Linked DNA regions of Arabidopsis thaliana. The protein of the gene in region 2 interacts with the protein of the main gene of each other region in a pairwise test. Each region holds a gene or a part of one and is shown on either strand. Other genes may lie near its edges.

What was found.
Region 1: the proteins of AT2G38250 (region 2) and AT3G07260 interact in a two-hybrid assay, tested with the Arabidopsis thaliana proteins (one large-scale study listed by BioGRID).
Region 3: the proteins of AT2G38250 (region 2) and SWC2 interact in a two-hybrid assay, tested with the Arabidopsis thaliana proteins (one large-scale study listed by BioGRID).
Region 4: the proteins of AT2G38250 (region 2) and MYB106 interact in a two-hybrid assay, tested with the Arabidopsis thaliana proteins (one large-scale study listed by BioGRID).

What each region holds. Positions count from the first base shown.
Region 1 is NC_003074.8:2,307,741-2,311,957, forward strand, and holds AT3G07260 (SMAD/FHA domain-containing protein), read left to right. Parts: upstream 1-1,868; 5' UTR 1,869-1,963; coding exon 1,964-2,546; intron 2,547-2,717; coding exon 2,718-2,890; 3' UTR 2,891-3,243; downstream 3,244-4,217. Other genes in the region: AT3G07255 (nuclear transport factor 2/RNA recognition motif protein), read right to left, coding at 133-586. UniProt on the Arabidopsis thaliana protein: May play a role in the control of plant organ development. Does not show transactivation activity in yeast.
Region 2 is NC_003071.7:16,016,167-16,020,966, forward strand, and holds AT2G38250 (Homeodomain-like superfamily protein), read left to right. Parts: upstream 1-2,043; 5' UTR 2,044-2,217; coding exon 2,218-2,523; intron 2,524-2,770; coding exon 2,771-3,334; 3' UTR 3,335-3,990; downstream 3,991-4,800.
Region 3 is NC_003071.7:15,405,905-15,412,395, reverse strand, and holds SWC2 (DNA binding protein SWC2), read left to right. Parts: upstream 1-2,483; 5' UTR 2,484-2,707; intron 2,708-2,941; 5' UTR 2,942-2,965; coding exon 2,966-3,033; intron 3,034-3,171; coding exon 3,172-3,241; intron 3,242-3,418; coding exon 3,419-3,490; intron 3,491-3,592; coding exon 3,593-3,636; intron 3,637-3,720; coding exon 3,721-3,994; intron 3,995-4,095; coding exon 4,096-4,171; intron 4,172-4,244; coding exon 4,245-4,364; intron 4,365-4,457; coding exon 4,458-4,526; intron 4,527-4,625; coding exon 4,626-4,668; intron 4,669-4,883; coding exon 4,884-4,949; coding exon of another isoform or gene 4,950-5,025; exon of another isoform or gene 5,026-5,134; coding exon 5,135-5,330; 3' UTR 5,331-5,349; intron 5,350-5,425; 3' UTR 5,426-5,774; downstream 5,775-6,491. Other genes in the region: UGT73C1 (UDP-glucosyl transferase 73C1), read left to right, coding at 390-1,865; AT2G36730 (Pentatricopeptide repeat (PPR) superfamily protein), read left to right, coding at 5,823-6,491. UniProt on the Arabidopsis thaliana protein: Component of the SWR1 complex which mediates the ATP-dependent exchange of histone H2A for the H2A variant H2A.F/Z leading to transcriptional regulation of selected genes (e.g. FLC) by chromatin remodeling.
Region 4 is NC_003074.8:45,626-50,503, forward strand, and holds MYB106 (myb domain protein 106), read right to left. Parts: upstream 2,672-4,878; 5' UTR 2,519-2,671; coding exon 2,382-2,518; exon of another isoform or gene 2,281-2,381; coding exon of another isoform or gene 2,273-2,280; coding exon 2,148-2,272; exon of another isoform or gene 2,064-2,147; coding exon 1,934-2,063; exon of another isoform or gene 1,846-1,933; coding exon 1,493-1,845; exon of another isoform or gene 1,416-1,492; coding exon 994-1,415; 3' UTR 771-993; downstream 1-770. UniProt on the Arabidopsis thaliana protein: Functions as a repressor of epidermal cell outgrowth and negatively regulate trichome branch formation. Acts both as a positive and a negative regulator of cellular outgrowth. Promotes both trichome expansion and branch formation.

The DNA.
Region 1 (4,217 bases), on a different chromosome or scaffold from region 2:
TCATCTACATGCAAATAGCATAATTTTCGTGATTCTTTAACAGAATCAACACATCGAATTATATACTAAAAAAAAACTATATACATATACCAACCAATTTTAGTTTATTTTTAAAAGAAGGTTGTTATATACCTTCTTGGCGAGAAGAGCTGCTAGGATCGGATACGGAGGAGGAGGTGCAAATGGGTGACCCAATCGTAACGTCTTTACTGCTTTCCTTGAGTCGACCCGACCCGTAACCGTTACACATGTTGATAGAGCTCAAATCCATATCATCGCCGTTACTAACTCCGTTATATTCTGTTCTGATCCTCTTGCACTCTCCTTCTTCTCCGCTTCTCTGCTGCTGCTTCGCCTCCCGCTTCTTCCGTGTTTCCTTTATCCTCGTCACATTCGTCGTTCTGCCGTCAAGATTAACGCCGTTATCCTTCTCGAATCCGACGGCGTTAGATTGTCCAAATGTTTTAGATTTCTCCGTTTTCTTGAAAGGACCTCCCAGGGAAAGACATAGCTCGAGCTCGAGCTCGACCTCCACATTCTCATCTTCTACAAACTTTTCTGCCATTGATAAAGATTCAACAAACATATAATGTCAAAAAGATGGTCTCTTGTCTTCCGCAAAATTTTCCTCTTGAAGGGTTTTGAAGCTTCGCCAACTTTGTTGTATGAGAAAGGAATATTATAAGGGGCGGAGATAATTAAAAAGAGAATGGTAAAGGCTTCGGAACATGACACATGTCCGATAAGGATAGTGGACATGGGCGGTTTCAAAATTCACTAAGAGAAAGGTTAAGAAACTTTATTAGCGCTACAATTTCGGATTATCGATAAACGCTTTCCATTTATTTTGTTGGTTTCTATTTCCATTGGTTGTAAAAATCAAGTAAAATTTTGACGAAAAGTACCGAGACGCCACGTGTAACACGTGCATGGAAACAGTTAACACGTGTACACTGAGATCCTGCTGGCTTTGACGAGGACACGTTGGGTGTTTTGAATTCTTGTGTTCGTATCTGACTCCGCGAATCTCGAGCATAAACACGACCCCGGGATTGACATGTGGCGACCATCTTCGAGAGACAGTGCAATAGGTTAGACAGTCCAGGTCAGCAAATGACGCCGTAACGGTTATTCTCATCTGATGTGTGTCGACGTGGTTCATGTTTGGCTGGCTTCATGGGCACGTGCTAGATGACAAATGGCTGTAAAGAATTATGTTGAGTAGATAGATGACTCGTGTCTTTATTCGAATAGTGGAATAGCTTGTTGAAGTTGCTTTATTATAGCTTGGCTATCACAAGTTCCAGCCTTACTCTTGCATGAATTGCACCTGGAAAGTGGAAAGAGGATTGAGACTATTTGAATTGTTGACAAGAAAAACAAAGGAAGATTCTGCGAATACACTGTGGAATATAGCAAATGTTCTTTTCTCGTTGTGATTTTTTCGGTTGATTAAATGTTTAACAAAATGTAAAGCAAAGATTCTAGAAAAAGAAAACCATTCTTGACTTTGCTATTTCTTTGACAAAAATGTGACGATATTCTTATGAACTTTTCATCATATTTTATCATCATAATTTCAAGCCTTACGGTTATCACATGATCCATATTCATGTCAATGTCATGCTTATCCCCGAATATTACATACTACTGGGTTTATGTACATAAGATCCGGTTCACGTTAATGGGCTGATGCTTTTTAGATAAGGCCCAACTAAAGCTGTTTCTTTTGTTAGCCGTGGAAACAAACTGCCCGTTTTGATTTGATCGCCGTAAGGCCCGTAACATTGACAGTGGAGAGGCTGAAAACATGATGGGTATAATAGTCATTTACTTGAGAAGCCTTTATATTTTTCATTGTACGGTTTAACCACAACATATCTAAACCGGTTTCCAAACACATTCTATTACTATGTAACCCCAAATTTGATCTCCGACTTCAAAATCGGAGAAATTTCACGGCATGGCTACAGCCGTTGGAAGCGGGAGCGATGTAGAGGTTGGATTTGCGAAGCTCCAAGGTGAGGATTTCGAGTACTATATGCAGTCTTACTCCATTATTCTCGGCCGGAATTCTAAGAAATCGACCGTCGACGTCGACCTCTCATCTCTCGGCGGTGGGATGAACATTTCTCGCAACCACGCTCGGATCTTCTATGACTTCACTAGACGACGCTTCTCTCTCGAGGTACTTGGCAAAAATGGCTGCTTCGTTGAAGGTGTCCTCCATCTCCCTGGGAACCCCAACGTCAAGCTCGATTCACAGGACCTTTTGCAGATTGGTGACAAGGAGTTCTACTTCCTGCTTCCGGTTTGGAGTATCCTAGGCGGTCCATTGGGACCCAGGCACCACGTCTTAGGGAAGGCTACTGTTGTTCCGTACCATAATTATCATTCGGGTCCAGGTTCCGGGTCGGGTAAGAATGGCGTCCGGAGTAGAGAGTTGTATGAGTACGATGATGAAGACGACGATGAAGAGGAGGATATCAGAGGCAGTGGAAAGAAAACATGGAGAGATGGACATGAAGGAGTATATGCCTCTGGAGGTAAAACCAAATTGCTCATGATAGCTTAACTTCATTGTGTCACTAAATAGATTTCAGGCTTGTTCTAGACTTTGAGTATAAGTTTTACTGTGGTGGTTGATGATTGAACCTTGTTAGACTTAGATTGAATGATAGTGACACCACGACATTGTATCTGCTTCATTTGTGCAGAGAAGAAGAGAGAGGGAAGATCAAAGGCAGATCGTGAAGCTGATGATCAACAATTTTTGCAGCTAATGCATGGTAGTGGTTGGTCTGTGACAGATATTAAAGGAGTATGGAAACGTATGGCATCACAGTCGAGTAAGAAGATACCTATCACAAGAAGACTGGGCTATCCCTGAAGCAAAAGGTAAACCATGGTACGGTTTGCTGATGCTGCTGAGAAAATACCCGGAGCATTTCGTCATCAACACGAGATCAAAGGGAAGAGTTACCCTTGAATTCGTTTCCCTCGTTACCCTACTCTCATAATCATCGAGATGATTGTTAGTGCAGGAGCAGGATGATTGGTAGTATATCTTTTATGTTTCCACGTAATGAGTGTATAAGTGGGTGTTAGGTGTTTTGACCTTGGTGACTCGTCGGATTAAGTTTTTCTCGCTTTTCTTTGTTACGTTGTATATGTAGAATGACAATGACATTGATGAGTAAAACACTCTCGGATTTAACCTTTTCTCTCTCTTCAAGAAATCGCATAAGCTATTTTCAGCCATATACATACTATAGCCTATATGGCTATTCAACATTAATACACTCTCGGGTAAATTTAACCTTTTAGTTGTTTTCTTATGGCGAAAGCGGATTTGGTTTGCATATTATTTAGTTGAAAAGAAAAATCAAACGAGAAAATATATCACAACCCAAAAGTATACTATACAAAATTCAGATAAAGTTGTCTCAAAAGTACTATGCATAGTACAGATAAAGTTGTCGGAAGGAAATATTAGTATGATTTTCCCCGTCTCATTACTGTACATCACTTAGTCAACGCATACACTGTTAAAAGTCAACACATACAATCATTCAAAAACGTTTGGAGTTTAACACATAACACATCACAAGAGTGATCATCACAAATTAGAAGTTTATTTTACAAACTTGAGCCTATTAAGTTTTTACTTTTTGGCCTAATGAAAATTGAAACCACTTTATTCAAACCCAAAAATCAACTTTCTTCTCTTGTTTTATCGGTGGTCAAGATCTAGGCTGTTCGCAATAACATTTATTATTTTTTTTTCCAATAATTTCGTCTTTAGTACCAACTTTCGTTTTATATATTGCTGCCGTACAACTTGCACTTGCTTACATGTTTATTTGTCTACAAATTATTACTTAAAAGTTAAAACAATATACAGAGAAATCTCCCTAAGTTATTGAGTGATAGTTTTAAGTTTTTTTTGTGAGATAAATTAATTACTATTTAGTATTTTACGTAGGTTTTGGTAAGATTCTTCGATTTTTTTTTTACTTACAAAAACAATAGAAAAAGACTGATGCATGACAAAATTCTTAGAAAAAAAAACTGATGCATATGATAACGTGAGTGAAGTTGGTGCTTAGAGTTGCTAATATTAATATATATATATATATATATATATATATATATATTGAGTGAAGTTTTTTTTTTTTTTTTTTCAATCATTGAGTGAAGTTTTTTTCTTCTTTTCT
Region 2 (4,800 bases):
ACAACAAAATCAACAAATCTAAAAAACTCGTTGATTGTTTTGAAGACAACAGCTATGTGGTGAAGAAAAAATGAAGAAAAACCAAAATCGACATGTGGGCTACTGTGTAAGATGCATTCATTTACAGCTACCAAACGCACACGTGACAATTTTTTTTTTTTTTTTTTTTTTGTTTGTATATATTATATAAATTTAAATACAATCGAAAACAAAAATTCTTCGTTAAACTCTTTTCAATGCTGTATTTGAAGCTTCCTATTTTTATTATTAAAAATATGTTGTTTCTAAAAAATATATATATATATATATATAAAAATTCTTTTCTTGACTCTACAAAATTTTTGTTTGCTAACAATTTTACCTTCACTGTTTACTATACAAAAAATCTCTGTTTTAGTGAATAATATATGCAACTAAGTTTTTCGCAATAAAAATACAATAAAAAAATTGTAGCTAGCTATAGTCTGGTCACAAACCATAGGAAATGTAGCCTCTAAAAATAAAATCAATAACAAATTTGTACTGATCTTTTTATATCGACATAAATTTGGTGAAAGTCCAAATAACATGTTTTTCGTACCATAATCAACCAAGTGGTGTTCCTTCAACAGATACATAAAACGAGGCAAAATAAAAGTGAACGAGGCAGACAAAGAATTTTCCAAACCTCATTTAAGGGACTAGGTTGACTTTAGTCCTTTACTTTAGAAGAGAGTTGCAGTTTTCATCTATTGTAGGGGTTACACAAAATTTGTTCTTATGTGAGTCCAATTGCCAAATTGTACATCACTCGAAGACAAATTGGGCCCAAACTGTGTAGAATGGGTTTGGGCTGCCAACCCATAATAAACCTTAAGTTGAAAATGAATTAGTTTGGCACATGCTTTTTTTTGTCATGTTCATGCTTTTAAAAAAATTCAAAATTGGCCTAACAAGTTTCACATCTCTAGAATGTTGTTCCTAGCTGGCTAGTTCCACGCACGTGTCACACTATAATTTGTCATTTCGTGAATGAAGAAATCATTCCAACACTTTTGTTATTTTGATAACCATACAAGGAATAACACGTGAAGGAATTTAGGAAACGAGAGATTCTAGAGAAGTCACCTAGTTTTGTATTTAAAAAAGGTGCTCAAAATTAGAAAAATATCGAATTTTGTTGAAAAAGGGAAAAATAAACAAAGACAAAGTAGTAAATAGAAACTTGGGCATGAAGCTAAGGATATGACTGGTCGCCGAGAATTAATAACCACACAGTATTATTACAAAAAGTATACAAACCGAAACTTCTCGCGGTGATGATGAAACCTCAACGCAATGTTATCGTCACATCAATTTGATTCCTCATTATAGTATGAATGAAAAAGCAGATTAAACAGAAAATACATAAAGAGCTCTATAACTCAATAGGAAATATTTACCACTCACCTATGTTTTTCTTACACTTTCACTCTAATTTATTTTGACAAAAGAAAAATTGTATTATATTATTTAAAGACTTGACTTTCTCTTTAATATTTTACTGTTTTTTATATTTAAAGCAATATAAAAAATTATCATCATTTTAATTAAATTTATTATCCCTACCATTTTACCAAACCAACTCAGTAATAAACTCATTTCATACACATATTTGACAAATATGTCGACTGTCAGAATCTAGAATACTATTTGTCAAATGAAAGTGATTACATTATGAGATAACGATAGAAATATCCACATCTCTCCTGATCACCAGTCAACATATCTTTTATTAACGAATTGACTGGTAGTTTAAGACGCTAATTATCCTTTGCTCTATAATACCATTTCAATCGATATTTTAACTAATTATATACTATTAGAAATGAAATGACAAATCTGCCGAAAGCTTTTTTCTTTTTAATATTTTGTCAAAAGAAGACACACAAAAAAAAAGTAAATTGTATTAGAAAAAATCCAAGACAGAGAAAAAAGTAAACGCGTAGACAGATGGCGACAGGAGAAAGAGAGAGTGGAGAAGAAGAAAAGAATTGCGATCAAAGAAAATTAGACTTCTTTCTTCCAACGTTTTCACATTACAAATACACAAAAACCAAAAGATAAAGAAAAACAAGAAATATTTTGTTTTTCGATCTGAAAAAGTGAAAGCTTCTTCAAAATCTTTGCTTTAGAGATCGTTTGGTGATTTTTTTTCTTTATTTTTTTTTTATAGTTTCTTCTTCTTGATTCTTTCATATGGATGGACATCAGCATCATCACCTTCACCAGCTTCAATATCTCAACAAGCATCATCTTCATACTCAATCGCAAACGCCGGAAATAGCCTCTCCGGTAGCTGTTGGGGATAGGTTTCCACAGTGGAGCGTCGAAGAGACAAAAGAGTTGATAGGGATAAGAGGAGAGCTAGATCAAACTTTCATGGAGACAAAACGGAACAAGCTTCTTTGGGAAGTTATCTCTAACAAGATGAGAGACAAAAGCTTTCCTCGTAGCCCTGAACAGTGCAAGTGCAAGTGGAAGAACCTCGTCACTCGTTTTAAGGTCTATTCTCTCTCTCCCTCTTCTTTCATTTTGTGGATGTTTTATAATCTTGGAGGTCTTGCATGGAACAAATAAATAAATAAAAATTTGTAACCAAGAAATATTGAATCTTATAGTCCATAATCTTTCCGGGACATATAGACAAACACCATTGTAAATATTTCTGAATCTTGTTGTCCATAATCTGCTAAGTAGTTTAATTATATGTATACAATCTCATTGGTGATGTATTGCTTGATGTTTCTAGGGATGTGAGACAATGGAGGCAGAGACAGCGAGACAACAGTTCCCTTTTTATGATGATATGCAAAATATATTTACCACTAGAATGCAGAGAATGCTATGGGCTGAATCCGAGGGAGGAGGAGGGGGAACAAGCGGGGCAGCGAGAAAGAGAGAGTATTCTTCAGATGAGGAAGAAGAGAATGTGAATGAAGAGCTAGTAGATGTCAGCAACGACCCAAAAATTCTAAATCCGAAAAAGAACATTGCAAAGAAGCGAAAAGGCGGTAGTAATAGTAGTAATAGCAATAATGGTGTAAGAGAAGTGTTGGAAGAGTTTATGAGACATCAAGTGAGAATGGAGAGCGAGTGGAGAGAAGGATGGGAGGCTAGGGAGAAGGAAAGAGCAGAGAAAGAAGAAGAATGGAGAAGGAAGATGGAGGAGCTTGAGAAGGAGAGGTTGGCAATGGAGCGGATGTGGCGGGATAGAGAGGAGCAACGGCGGTCGAGGGAGGAGATGAGAGCAGAGAAGAGGGATTCACTTATCAATGCATTGCTTGCTAAGCTTACTAGAGATGGTTCCCTCTAATCTTTTGTCAGCTTTGCTTAACCTAAATTAACTTGTTCTTATATGCTTGTTTGGGGTGTAGTGTAGGTACAATTATTTGGTGGGGGAAGATAATATCTACGGCAAATCTCAACACTCATATATTGATTGATATGATGACATATTTGAGTTTTAGTGAGGCTTTAGTAATTTATCATCCCCACATTATTTCTTCCTAGTTTATATTTTGGCGAGCCAAATTCTTATAGCATATCATTTAATCTTAGTAGTATACTGGTTTTAATTAGTAATTTGTAGGACCGTATGTGTAGTATTTTAGAGTAATTTGGATTTTGTTAGAGTTAACCTACAAATCCATATATAGTGCAGCGAATGTAATATCGGTTTCAAATATTATCTTCATGCAGAAGAGAACGAGGATACTAATAGTTTATGGTATTATGAACTAATTAACTTTGATGAGAATGTAGAGATCAAGAGGGCAAAACAGTTAGTGGAAATATTAAACATGCTCGAAACAAGAATGAAAACTTATCCTATGAATTATGGGATCATTTAGGTCCATTGTCTGCGATCTAAACTTTTATTATTTTACCATAAATGTTTTCTTGTAACATTGAGAATCATATCTAACATGGCAAGATAATACGTGAATGCGTATGGCGTTTCTTATCCACATAAATTTGTTTTACTTATGTTTTTTTTTTGTTTTCCACATAAAGATTAGTAAAGATCTTGTATTATTTTATTTGTAAATTTATATTTATATAATTATATACTAAGGAGATGCTTAATGAATAAAATACACATCACATGTTAATTCTAGAAAATACGTTAACCAGTTTTTTTTTGGTAACATTGTTGTTTCTTTATTTATTTACTAGCTATGAACTCATGCGTGGATTTATTTGTAAAAAATTTAACAGTTTTTTGTGTGACTAAAATATTTTATTGAAAATTTTGAAAATATGATTTTATATATCTATTTGTTGTTAATATTATAAACTCTTTGAATTTTAAAATTATCATGACAAATAGTAACAATTTAAATACATAACTAGAAATAACCTTTATACAACTCTTAGATTTTACAACATTTAGCAAAAGAACATTTTTTTGGTTAATGACTCTCTCTTTAGCTTTAGATATTTAGGATAACGACGTCTTTTTTTACGTATTAAATAAATTGTTGTATAGGAAATAGATTCGACGATTCTCATTTTGGTACCCGCAAATTTACTATTGTTTTTCGTTTATCTTCGCTGCATTAGTTAGTATAGCTCTTCTAAAAATAAGATATTTTGTAGAAATATATTCGTAAGTTTATCTACACTTTCTTTTAACAACTCATATTTTTCTCACATTCTTTTCAATATGTATATGAATTTCTTTCACAATTTTTTTTACAGAGAGCTATGACTCTCCCTATCTTTTTGCAAAAACTCGTTTTATTTGTTTCATTTTTTCTTACAGTGTCTCTTTCATCC
Region 3 (6,491 bases), 610 kb from region 2:
TAGTTTGAAGACAAATGTTGAGGCTTGTTTGTCCATACGACATAAAAAGAAGGAGAGACTGAGATATTCCGAATTTGATTTTTCTTTCTTTATTCGTTTATCCAATACTAATTTTTACGGCTATAAACTTTTCACTATCTTTTCGACGTACCTCTAGCTAAAAGATATTTTCTCTTAAAATTTTGGGCTTATATGAATACAAAAGAACATATGAGTGCCCGCCACGATATGTACTGTGAACCACTTAGTGTGTTTTGTAACTATTACGAATAATAAGCCAATTTCCTTTTGTTCTTTCTTACATCACATCTTAATATATGTAGGCACAGAGAAACACACACATTATCGGAACCAAAGCAAAAAAAATAAACCTTAGAAGAGAGTTCCTCATGGCATCGGAATTTCGTCCTCCTCTTCATTTTGTTCTCTTCCCTTTCATGGCTCAAGGCCACATGATCCCAATGGTAGATATTGCAAGGCTCCTGGCTCAGCGCGGGGTGACTATAACCATTGTCACTACACCTCAAAACGCAGGCCGGTTCAAGAACGTTCTTAGCCGGGCTATCCAATCCGGCTTGCCCATCAATCTCGTGCAAGTAAAGTTTCCATCTCAAGAATCGGGTTCACCGGAAGGACAGGAGAATTTGGACTTGCTCGATTCATTGGGGGCTTCATTAACCTTCTTCAAAGCATTTAGCCTGCTCGAGGAACCAGTCGAGAAGCTCTTGAAAGAGATTCAACCTAGGCCAAACTGCATAATCGCTGACATGTGTTTGCCTTATACAAACAGAATTGCCAAGAATCTTGGTATACCAAAAATCATCTTTCATGGCATGTGTTGCTTCAATCTTCTTTGTACGCACATAATGCACCAAAACCACGAGTTCTTGGAAACTATAGAGTCTGACAAGGAATACTTCCCCATTCCTAATTTCCCTGACAGAGTTGAGTTCACAAAATCTCAGCTTCCAATGGTATTAGTTGCTGGAGATTGGAAAGACTTCCTTGACGGAATGACAGAAGGGGATAACACTTCTTATGGTGTGATTGTTAACACGTTTGAAGAGCTCGAGCCAGCTTATGTTAGAGACTACAAGAAGGTTAAAGCGGGTAAGATATGGAGCATCGGACCGGTTTCCTTGTGCAACAAGTTAGGAGAAGACCAAGCTGAGAGGGGAAACAAGGCGGACATTGATCAAGACGAGTGTATTAAATGGCTTGATTCTAAAGAAGAAGGGTCGGTGCTATATGTTTGCCTTGGAAGTATATGCAATCTTCCTCTGTCTCAGCTCAAAGAGCTCGGCTTAGGCCTCGAGGAATCCCAAAGACCTTTCATTTGGGTCATAAGAGGTTGGGAGAAGTATAACGAGTTACTTGAATGGATCTCAGAGAGCGGTTATAAGGAAAGAATCAAAGAAAGAGGCCTTCTCATAACAGGATGGTCGCCTCAAATGCTTATCCTTACACATCCTGCCGTTGGAGGATTCTTGACACATTGTGGATGGAACTCTACTCTTGAAGGAATCACTTCAGGCGTTCCATTACTCACGTGGCCACTGTTTGGAGACCAATTCTGCAATGAGAAATTGGCGGTGCAGATACTAAAAGCCGGTGTGAGAGCTGGGGTTGAAGAGTCCATGAGATGGGGAGAAGAGGAGAAAATAGGAGTACTGGTGGATAAAGAAGGAGTAAAGAAGGCAGTGGAGGAATTGATGGGTGATAGTAATGATGCTAAGGAGAGAAGAAAAAGAGTGAAAGAGCTTGGAGAATTAGCTCACAAGGCTGTGGAAGAAGGAGGCTCTTCTCATTCCAACATCACATTCTTGCTACAAGACATAATGCAATTAGAACAACCCAAGAAATGATTGTAACTTTTCTTAGATTGTAACTTTTCTTTTGTATTACCCAAAAAAAATGATTGTGACGTTTGTTCTCGATTACTTCTCTTTGTTCAAGAACAATTTATGATAGTTTTATTTGAAATTGTCTCTATTATCGAATCTTATACTAACATCTTAGTTAGTACATACTTATTAAGCATTCGAATTCGTACACTCAAATTGAAGAAAAAAACACAATTTCTTATATACTTTTTTTTTTTCTGTAGCTTTAGAAGAGTGTAGAAACCTTCTCCAGTGGTCCTGCATGAGATCGCAACTTCGATATTGCTTGCTCCTTGGAGTTTAGAGGAGTGTAGAAACACTTTTTGTTTGTTTACTTTTGCTTTCTCGATCATGACAAGTTGACAACTCGTGTTATATCCAAAATGACATCATGCATGACTTGAAAATTGAAATCTATCTATGATATTACCATTTCTGGACAATTTTGTTAACCGATTTATATATCTTAACATCTTTCTTTTTTGGTATTATTTACGTTACGATTTTTCATCGTAAATTTAATTTAAAATTTTATATATGCCAGTGTAAAAAGAAATTACTCAAGGTCATTAATAAAAATAAAAATAAAACGTTTTTCCCCAGCGGTCTATCATTGTAAGTTTTATTTTACAAAAAGAATCTTCTAATATAATATGGGCTTTGAAAATGTCTAAGTGGAAGGCCCATTAATATCTCAAGTCCAATAACAATGGTGTACGAACCAGCGGCACCGTGTGTGAAAGAGTGAATCAAAGAGGTGCGGCGGTCGCCGGCGAAGACGTGTGCTCGTCGAAGAAACTTCTCCAACCTAAAATTTTCCGAAGGTAACTCCTCGAGCGAGATTTTAAGCTCATCACACAAATTACTTTTCATTCTCGCTTTCATGGGCTCTTCTTCGATTACTGTGTACATCACTCAAATTTTGGGTTTTTGTTCCTGTTTCCCTCTCGATATAATCGTAAAGTCTTGAAATTGCGAGAAACCCTAATTTGGGGGTTCCTTGCTGATTTGTTAATTTGTGTGTTATGACATTTTCGTTTAAATTTGTGAACTTGTAGAAGTAAGAGTTGAGCAAGTTATCAATGGAAATCGATGAAGAAGAGCCAATGGTGTTCTTGGACCGTACAACAAGAGCAACACGGGGTAAACGGTAAGAATTACTTGAGCTTAAGCTTTTACCTGATGAATGTGTTTCACCTGAAGATTGTGGTTTTGTCTCACTGTTATTGAGATGTATCAGAAACTCTCTTGTGGAAGCTTTATTCATCAGTTTTCTGTTTTTTTTCAGGATGACCAAGTTGCTTGATGACGAAGTAGAAGAAGATGAACAGTTTTGGAATCAAGAAGCTCTTAAAGAGGTTTGTTTTGTTTTATATATAGCTTACTCTCTTAAAGAGATGTTAATGATTTGTTAAGGTAGACTAGATGTCAAAATATATAATGGAAAAAAATCAGATTTGTAGACAAGATACTATCGCAGAAACTTTCGTGTGTTTGCTGACATTTATGTATCTCTTTACTTTTGTTATCTGCAGGAAGAACATGATGATGAATATGAAGCAGAACGTGAGGTTGCTGATGAGTTTGACAGTGACTTCAATGACGATGTATTTATGTCTTGCTTATGTATTGAGTACTTATTCATCAAGGTTTTTGCTTATATTTCCATTCTTTTTAATTTCTTTCTTTTGCCTTTTGTTTGGGATTAGGAGCCTGAGCCTGATGCAGTCGCTGTAAATGAAAAAGAATTGAGGTTTGAATTTTTTCAAAGCTTGTCTTATGATGGCTATTATGTGTGTCTGTTTTAATTTTGTTACAATTTTGCATATTGTTGTAGGGATCTGCCAAAGAAGCGGCTGATTTACCCTGGGAAAACTGCTTCAAAGAAAAAGAAAAAGAAGACGAAGGTAGTTTCACAACTAGAATATATTCCTGGAGATGAGAAGCCAGGTGAAGAATTGGGAAACAAGGAACAAGAAGAAAAAGAAGAGAATGAAGCACAAGAAGATATGGAAGGTGAGAAAGTCATTAGGAAATCAACACGGACTTCAGTGGTTGTACGGCAAGCAGAAAGAGATGCATTGCGTGCTGCTATACAAGCAACAACAAAGGTTTCTCAGAACTCATCCCCACTAGCTATTTACATTCATGGCTACACTTTAATCTCTTTTCTAAGTCTTGCCATGTTGAATTCTTTTTTGTGTTTGTTCAGCCAATACAAAGGAAAAAAGTAGGGGAGGAAAAACGGATGACCCAAGAAGAAATGCTGCTGGAAGCTGCTCAAACAGGTTTGGCTTTTATGATGCTGCATCTGATTTGCTCTATCAGAAACTCAAAATTGCTAAAGTCAGGTTCTTGCAGAAATCATGAACTTGAGGAATTTAGAACGTGTCTTGGCAAGGGAAGAAGAAGTAAAAAAGAAAGCGATTGTGCATAAAGCAGTCTACAAGGGTCCTCAGATTCGGTATCATTCAAAAGATGGTAAGCTCTCCAGTAAAATAGTAATCCAGTCTAATTGGATCTTTCCAGAAAAGTAAGAACTATATTTGTTTAAACTTTTAACTTTACATGCAGGATGTAACTATTTAGAATTCTGTAATGGTGCGTCATTCAATTCAGAGTTGTCGACGAAGTCTGTTCCCTGTAAGTAATTTTGAGTGGTGTTTGGAGATGAACATAAATGTGTTCATATTGATCTATACTGATCTCTGTCTTTCTTTTGGTTTGTTTTCTCTTTTCCAGATCCAGAAAAAGCTGTATGTGTGATTACGGGATTACCTGCCAAGTAAGAGTTTTTCTGTTCTTCTTCTTTATTCATCGGAAGAACAAGATCTCTGGGATGAACACAAGTAGACTCTCTTAGGTCTACTAAAAAGAAGTTATCAGTTTCTTTGATATATACTTCTCGAAAAGAAATGATGTTATAACCTAGAAACCTGATTATCTTTTCTCTGCAATTTTAGAACTAGTTCTTAGCTGTTGTGTGTATTGCTGATACAGGTACCGGGATCCAAAAACGGGTCTTCCTTATGCAACTAGAGACGCCTTCAAAGCAATACGTGAAAGGTGTTGCTTGATCCAATTATTGCTGCATCGATGTTTTCACTTGTCTATAGAAGTATTCATCTGTTGTTTCCTCTAACGGATCAAGCAAATGAATGTTATCGAGTGAAACAGGCCTTTGATATTTACATTGTCTTTATTAGTGTTAGAATCTGATATTTCCCAGTCTTATGTTTATTGTTCTGAAGGTTCATGGACGAACATGATGGTTTGAGAAAGAAAATGGAGATGGGAGATTTGTTTGATACACTAGTGGCGAAAGGTTTTGCAACAAAACAAAAGAGAACGAAGATTCCAAAGAGTAACAAATCATTTTCCCTCAGAAGCTCAGCTCGTTTCCTTAGCTCCGAGTCTGAAGAAGAGAGTGAAGAAGATTCAGATTAATAAACACCTCCCTGATTTGGTTAGTATATTAATATAAAGCCTTTAGTTTTCATGAAACATGATCATGAACTCACAGTTGTAATCATGCTCTGCAGAATCTGCATCTCACATGATTGTGATACATCATTCATGGATCTTCCCACGACCATGGTTTTGGTTCTCAGAGATTAGAAGCGAGAAGAACATTCATGGAGGAAATTTTCATGATCAGAGCTTTGAAATGGAAACAACAACACTCTAATCAGAGATTGATCCTCCTAACCAAAACCTCTGACACCCATCTCAGAATCAGAGAGAAAGTGTAATCTTCTGTATATTACTGACCTTGTAAAGATGATATGTTTTGGTTGATAAATATCAATTTCACATTAAACCGAACCGAATAAGCTTTTGATTTTACTTCGGTTCCGTTAAAACCGTTCCAAATCTATAAATATATCACCGATTTGAAAATTGAAACTTTTTGCGATTTCTAAGAGCTCCAATGGCATAATGATTTGGAGTTCAGATTCATGCTTCAAATCCAGGAAACACCAATGTCTTATCTTCCTCAAGCTATGTTCCTCAATTAAACACCTTCTACAGATCCATGGTCAAATCCATCTCTCCTCTCTCCAAAATGACAGCTTTATCATCAGCGAGCTTGTACGGGTTTCATCACTATCCCTCGCCAAAGACCTTGCCTTTGCGCGAACCCTTCTGCTTCACTCTTCAGATTCGACTCCTTCTACTTGGAATATGCTCAGTAGAGGCTATTCTTCAAGTGATTCTCCTGTGGAATCGATTTGGGTTTACTCTGAGATGAAGAGACGAGGAATCAAACCTAATAAGCTCACTTTTCCTTTTCTTCTCAAGGCTTGTGCTTCGTTTTTAGGTCTCACTGCTGGGAGACAGATTCAAGTTGAGGTTTTGAAACATGGGTTTGATTTTGATGTATATGTTGGGAACAATTTGATCCATCTTTATGGTACTTGTAAGAAAACTTCTGATGCCAGGAAGGTGTTCGACGAAATGACTGAGAGAAATGTTGTTTCTTGGAACTCGATTATGACTGCTCTTGTTGAGAATGGTAAGTTAAATTTGGTGTTTGAGTGTTTTTGTGAGATGATTGGTAAGCGGTTTTGTCCAGATGAGACGACAATGGTGGTTTTGCTTTCGGCT
Region 4 (4,878 bases), on a different chromosome or scaffold from region 2:
TCTTCTCAGAAAAGCAAATTATTGGGCTTTATATGGGCCTTTATTCAATAGTACCAAACGTCAGGCCCATATCCTTCTTACTATTACGCCCAAATTTGCATGCACATTAAGTAAACGATTAAGGATTTACTATCAAATTCGATGGATGTAATGTAACCTTTTGTTAAAAATGTCTTAAGTTTAGTGGACTCGAATCTATTAGTAATATCTGTGTTTTATTACTATGGATCATACTGTATATAAATAAATTTATGATAAAGAAAAGGACATGAAACAACCAAGCATTGAATTTTCTTTCTTTTACTCGACATGTCAACGTGTTGTTGTTATAATTACAGCCTCTTCGTTCAGACATCTCTCATATAGAAAAATTTGAAAATTAGACAAAAATACTCCACAACCGGTGGATAAGTAATATGAATATCTATTTCCTTCAATTGCTTGCACTCAGCAACTTTAAAGAATTATGGAGTGGTTCCAATCCTATATTTTGAAACATCTTATCAATATAAGATTAAGGAAAGCTCAACTTCTATAACTCAATAGTTAAAGCGCCTAATTATTCCCAAAATTAGTAATTTAAATTCGAACAAAGCAATGATACTAAAAAGGATCTTTGTGCCGATAGGCTTTTCAAGAAAGCTCATTCCCAAAACAAAAACGTATTAGGATTTGAAGGAGGATCCCTTATTATGGTTTATGTATTTGGCCAAATGACAACGACGTTATCACTTAAAATATTTTTCTAACAAACTGTATACCAACAACATAAAAGCATAATATATAAATTGTAAATTGGATTTGCAGGTTTGCTACATGCAATTCTGCAAAAACGAATACTAAAATTAAGCTCATTTTCATCCCATATATATATATATATATATATATATAATAGTTTATAAAGAAAATAAAGATAAGTAAAAAGTATTGGAAAGCTATCGACATTTAAAAAACAATCTGAGAATTAAAAATGTTTGGTTGAAGACCCTTAGATCAGAACATCGTCGCGGAATCGGACGGTGAAGAATCAACCAAGTTGAGAATGCTATTCCAGTAATTCTTGTTATCCTCATAGTAGTTATACTCACTCTCATTCCCCACGCCCGCCGTCGCTTCGTTTTTCCCGGTGGGTAAACCCCGGCCGACCGAATCACCGATCAATAGACTCGTGAATCCTTCTCCTATTCCTCCACTACCACAGTTGATCTGCCTAATCCAGTCGTGTTCATGTTCTTTGACCAGACTCACATCGGAGGAGGTTGACGAAGATACGGCCAATTCAATCATCGCCGAGGACTCATTGTTGTTATTGTTTCTATTTCTGCTGCTATCCGTAGGGATTCCTAAAGGCATCAGAAGATTCTCAGAGAATGTCACCGTCGATGTCGGAGATTCAAGCTGTTGGTCTCCGTTTCCTGTCACAATTTTCCATTGATACGTTACCAAAACCAATCAAAGTTGAGAGTTTTTTTTAAGACGATGTGTCCCTTACCTTGGTTTGGTTTAGTCCAGTTTGTTGATGTTTTTTGAGTGAAGCAATGTTGTTGAGGAGCTGCTGATTTGTTAAGGTTGTTATTGTTTTGGTAATGCTGTAAATGGAGAAGCTTTGATTCTCTAGCTAGCCTTGCTTCAGCTTCGAGTCTTGCACTCTCCCATTGAGCCATATGACTAAGCGTGGCTGCGTTCTTTGATTGTCCTGTGGAAGACGAAAGAGTCTCGTTTTTGTGCTTGTGAGTCACTGGATCTATCCCCATTTTGATCAGACGTTTCTTCAAGTGTGTGTTCCAGTAGTTCTTGATCTCGTTGTCTGTCCTCTTTGGTAAATGAGTTGCAATCGCTGACCACCTATGACATTTAAAGGACGACGATCAATTTGCTTTCAAAGCAATCACTTGGTTATTTGGTTTGAAAGCAGAGATTGTGATTGAGTCACCTGTTTCCGAGGAGAGCGTGGAGTTGAATGATGGTTTGTTCTTCTTGTACAGTGAATTTGCCTCTCTTGATGTCAGGTCTTAGGTAGTTAGTCCATCTGAGTCTGCAACTCTTTCCACACCTTTGGAGACCTATAAGGAGTTTGAAGCAAAGCTTTGAATAGAGCTAGAAGAAAATGTGTGGTTTTGTTGAAGAGAAAAGAGCGAGCAAGTTACCGGCTTTCTCAGGCAAAGAACGCCAGCTTCCATGGCCATGTTCTTCAATATAAGCCAAAAGTTTCTGATCCTCTTCTGGAGTCCAAGGCCCTTTCTTCAACCCGGCCTTATCACAACATGGCGATCTGCCCATTGTTTTCCCACACAAGTTATTAGTCTAATCTACTGAAGAAAAAGCTAGCTTCAATCTGATCCACGGTTTAATAACCTAGTGTATGAGATAGTTGTCATTACATGATCATGATCAGTATGATCACAAAAGCTGCTCTCTTGGCGTCACTCTGATATATAGATGGAGAAACACAACAGAAGATGTCTCTGTTTAGGTTCTGTAAGCGCCCCTTTTCCCGGTCTCTGACATGGATTGGCATTCAATTGGATGGGGTCGAGAGATATTATTACCTTTGTGGCTCCAACACCTTGATTTCCTTTTAAAGACTCAACAGAGCACCCAATTACTGTAGCCATCTTTACCTTGAAATTGTACCTCTCAACACAAAAGTAAAACAGTGAATTTCAGAACCTGGAGTAAATTTTAAGGTCAACATCTATCAATAGCTCTCACTTTGATAACCCTGCAACTTAGGATAATGTCATTGAGAAGAATGTTTTTCTCATTAGCCTTAAACAAACTTTGTGGTCCTTTAACAGTTTTGACATTTAAACCATTCTTGTTACTTTCCCGCATTTTTCTCGCGTCAAGGTTCGCTGTCGACAGTCCCCAAATGCACTAAACCCATTTAAGCTAGTTACAAGTTTTAAACACTTCTCACTAAAACTCAATTATCTTACACTAGGGTCTAAAAGATGCTCAAGGTTTCTTATTACAGGTATCCTATTGAGTGATGGTTTCTTGAAAGCTACAAAGTTCTTATTGTTTTGTCTTACTTACGGTCTTGCCTACAACTAGTTACCCTAATAAGTTACACTACTTTATGGAAACGTGTTTATTGATTTCTTCGTTTCACATTTTAGTTAGCTTTTTGTAGAAACTCCACAATAGTAAATGCTGTTAGATGGCGGTGAAGAAGTGGAAGCTGGCACTATAATGGGAAAAGCAAATCAGACACAGAGGATTAATGATATTTGGAGTAACTTAGAGCAAAAAGTCTTAATGATTCATAAACCCTGATTATAGAAGGAAAAAAAAGGGAAAATGCAAAGTAGTTGCAAGTAATTAATTGGTTGTCAATGATGTCATTAGCTTAGACTTGTTGTTTATTCAATTAGTCATTGCTCTGCAAATGGTATAATTCTCCCTGTGGAAGCAACAATAGTTTTATGGTAACACATTTTTACACTAATAGTCACTGTCTCTAAAGTATCAGAAAACTATGACCGCGGTAAACACTGAGTTTCAACCATTGTAAAAATTTGGAACCCTTATAAATGAAGAGAGGAAACACTAATGTGGTGGGAGCAAGAAGAAAGGAGGTGAAAAACCTTTCCTTGTCTGGTTCCTTTACCATTTAATGAAAGTCCCACTGGCTGCTCCACTGTTCTTGGTGTCAATTCATCACAAAATCTATTTTTTCACAAAGATAAACTAACATAGACAATGAATGATGAAAAGTATACAGAAACTTAACCATCAAAATAGCGACTTGATGAGGTAAAAACCACTATTTGGTTACCCTTTAACTAGTAGCATACCACAAAAGGTAAAATTTGACCATAATCAGAATTGTATAATTTGTTACTTACTGACCATTATGCAAAATTTTAGTGGCATACATGGTTTGGATAGTTTACAGGTGATCAAATGTTGTCGACAAAGGTAACTTTGGCTGCCAAGAAAGGTAGACGAGTAATGGCGGTGACGGTGACATTAAAGAGATTTTACCAGACCAAACAAAGAAAAGAGTATCCTAGTGTGTGCCATGGTAGCAAAGAAAGGATTTATTGAGGTGGGCTCCAAGCTTCTAGGAAGAGAAGAAAGTATCTTCATCAACACAAAGATAAACCATAAGACAAAATCATAAGGCCCAACGAATTGTACCAATAAAAACAAAATTGAATTTTGGAAAAACTAAATCATACTGGCTGCAAAAGATGTAAAGGACAATGGGGACACCTCTTTAATTGTCTTGGCTGATTTCATCTTTTATGGTCCAAACAGTGCTCAATAAACTTCATAGATGATGATGTTGCCACTTGTCAAAATCACATCCATCCACGTAACGTAGCTGAGATTGAGTGAGCTAAGAAGAGGGGCCAAAGCTTTTAAAGTCAACTGATAACCATTTGCTTTTCTTCATCATCAGTTTTTGGACCAGAAATTATAGTTTCTTAAATTCTCACATCAATGCTCCAAGTCTTTTGCTTCTGTGTGTGCTCGTTCTACCGAATAGAACAACAAGTCAGTCACACGCATGGAAAAAACAGTAAACAACAAGTACATGCATGAATGCTTCAAGTCTTTTTCCTCGAAACTGTTTCGTAGAAAAACAATGTAAAACACTTTTAAGTTCGCTTAGTAATTACTGAACTCAAGACATACAAACGCAGAGACTGTAATCTGTCACTGGATCTAGACATTTCTTGTCCATTGACCTAAGCCAGAAGATGATTTAACATCGCAAAAAGCAAGTCAAACTTGCTTGTTCTCAATCAAAACATCTCTCAGTAAGTTATGGTCCAACCTTTTTCATTCACTATCTTCATCAACAAGACATGACCAAATCATCCAACTAAAAGTCAACAAAGAGGAAGGAAGCAAACAAGACAACTT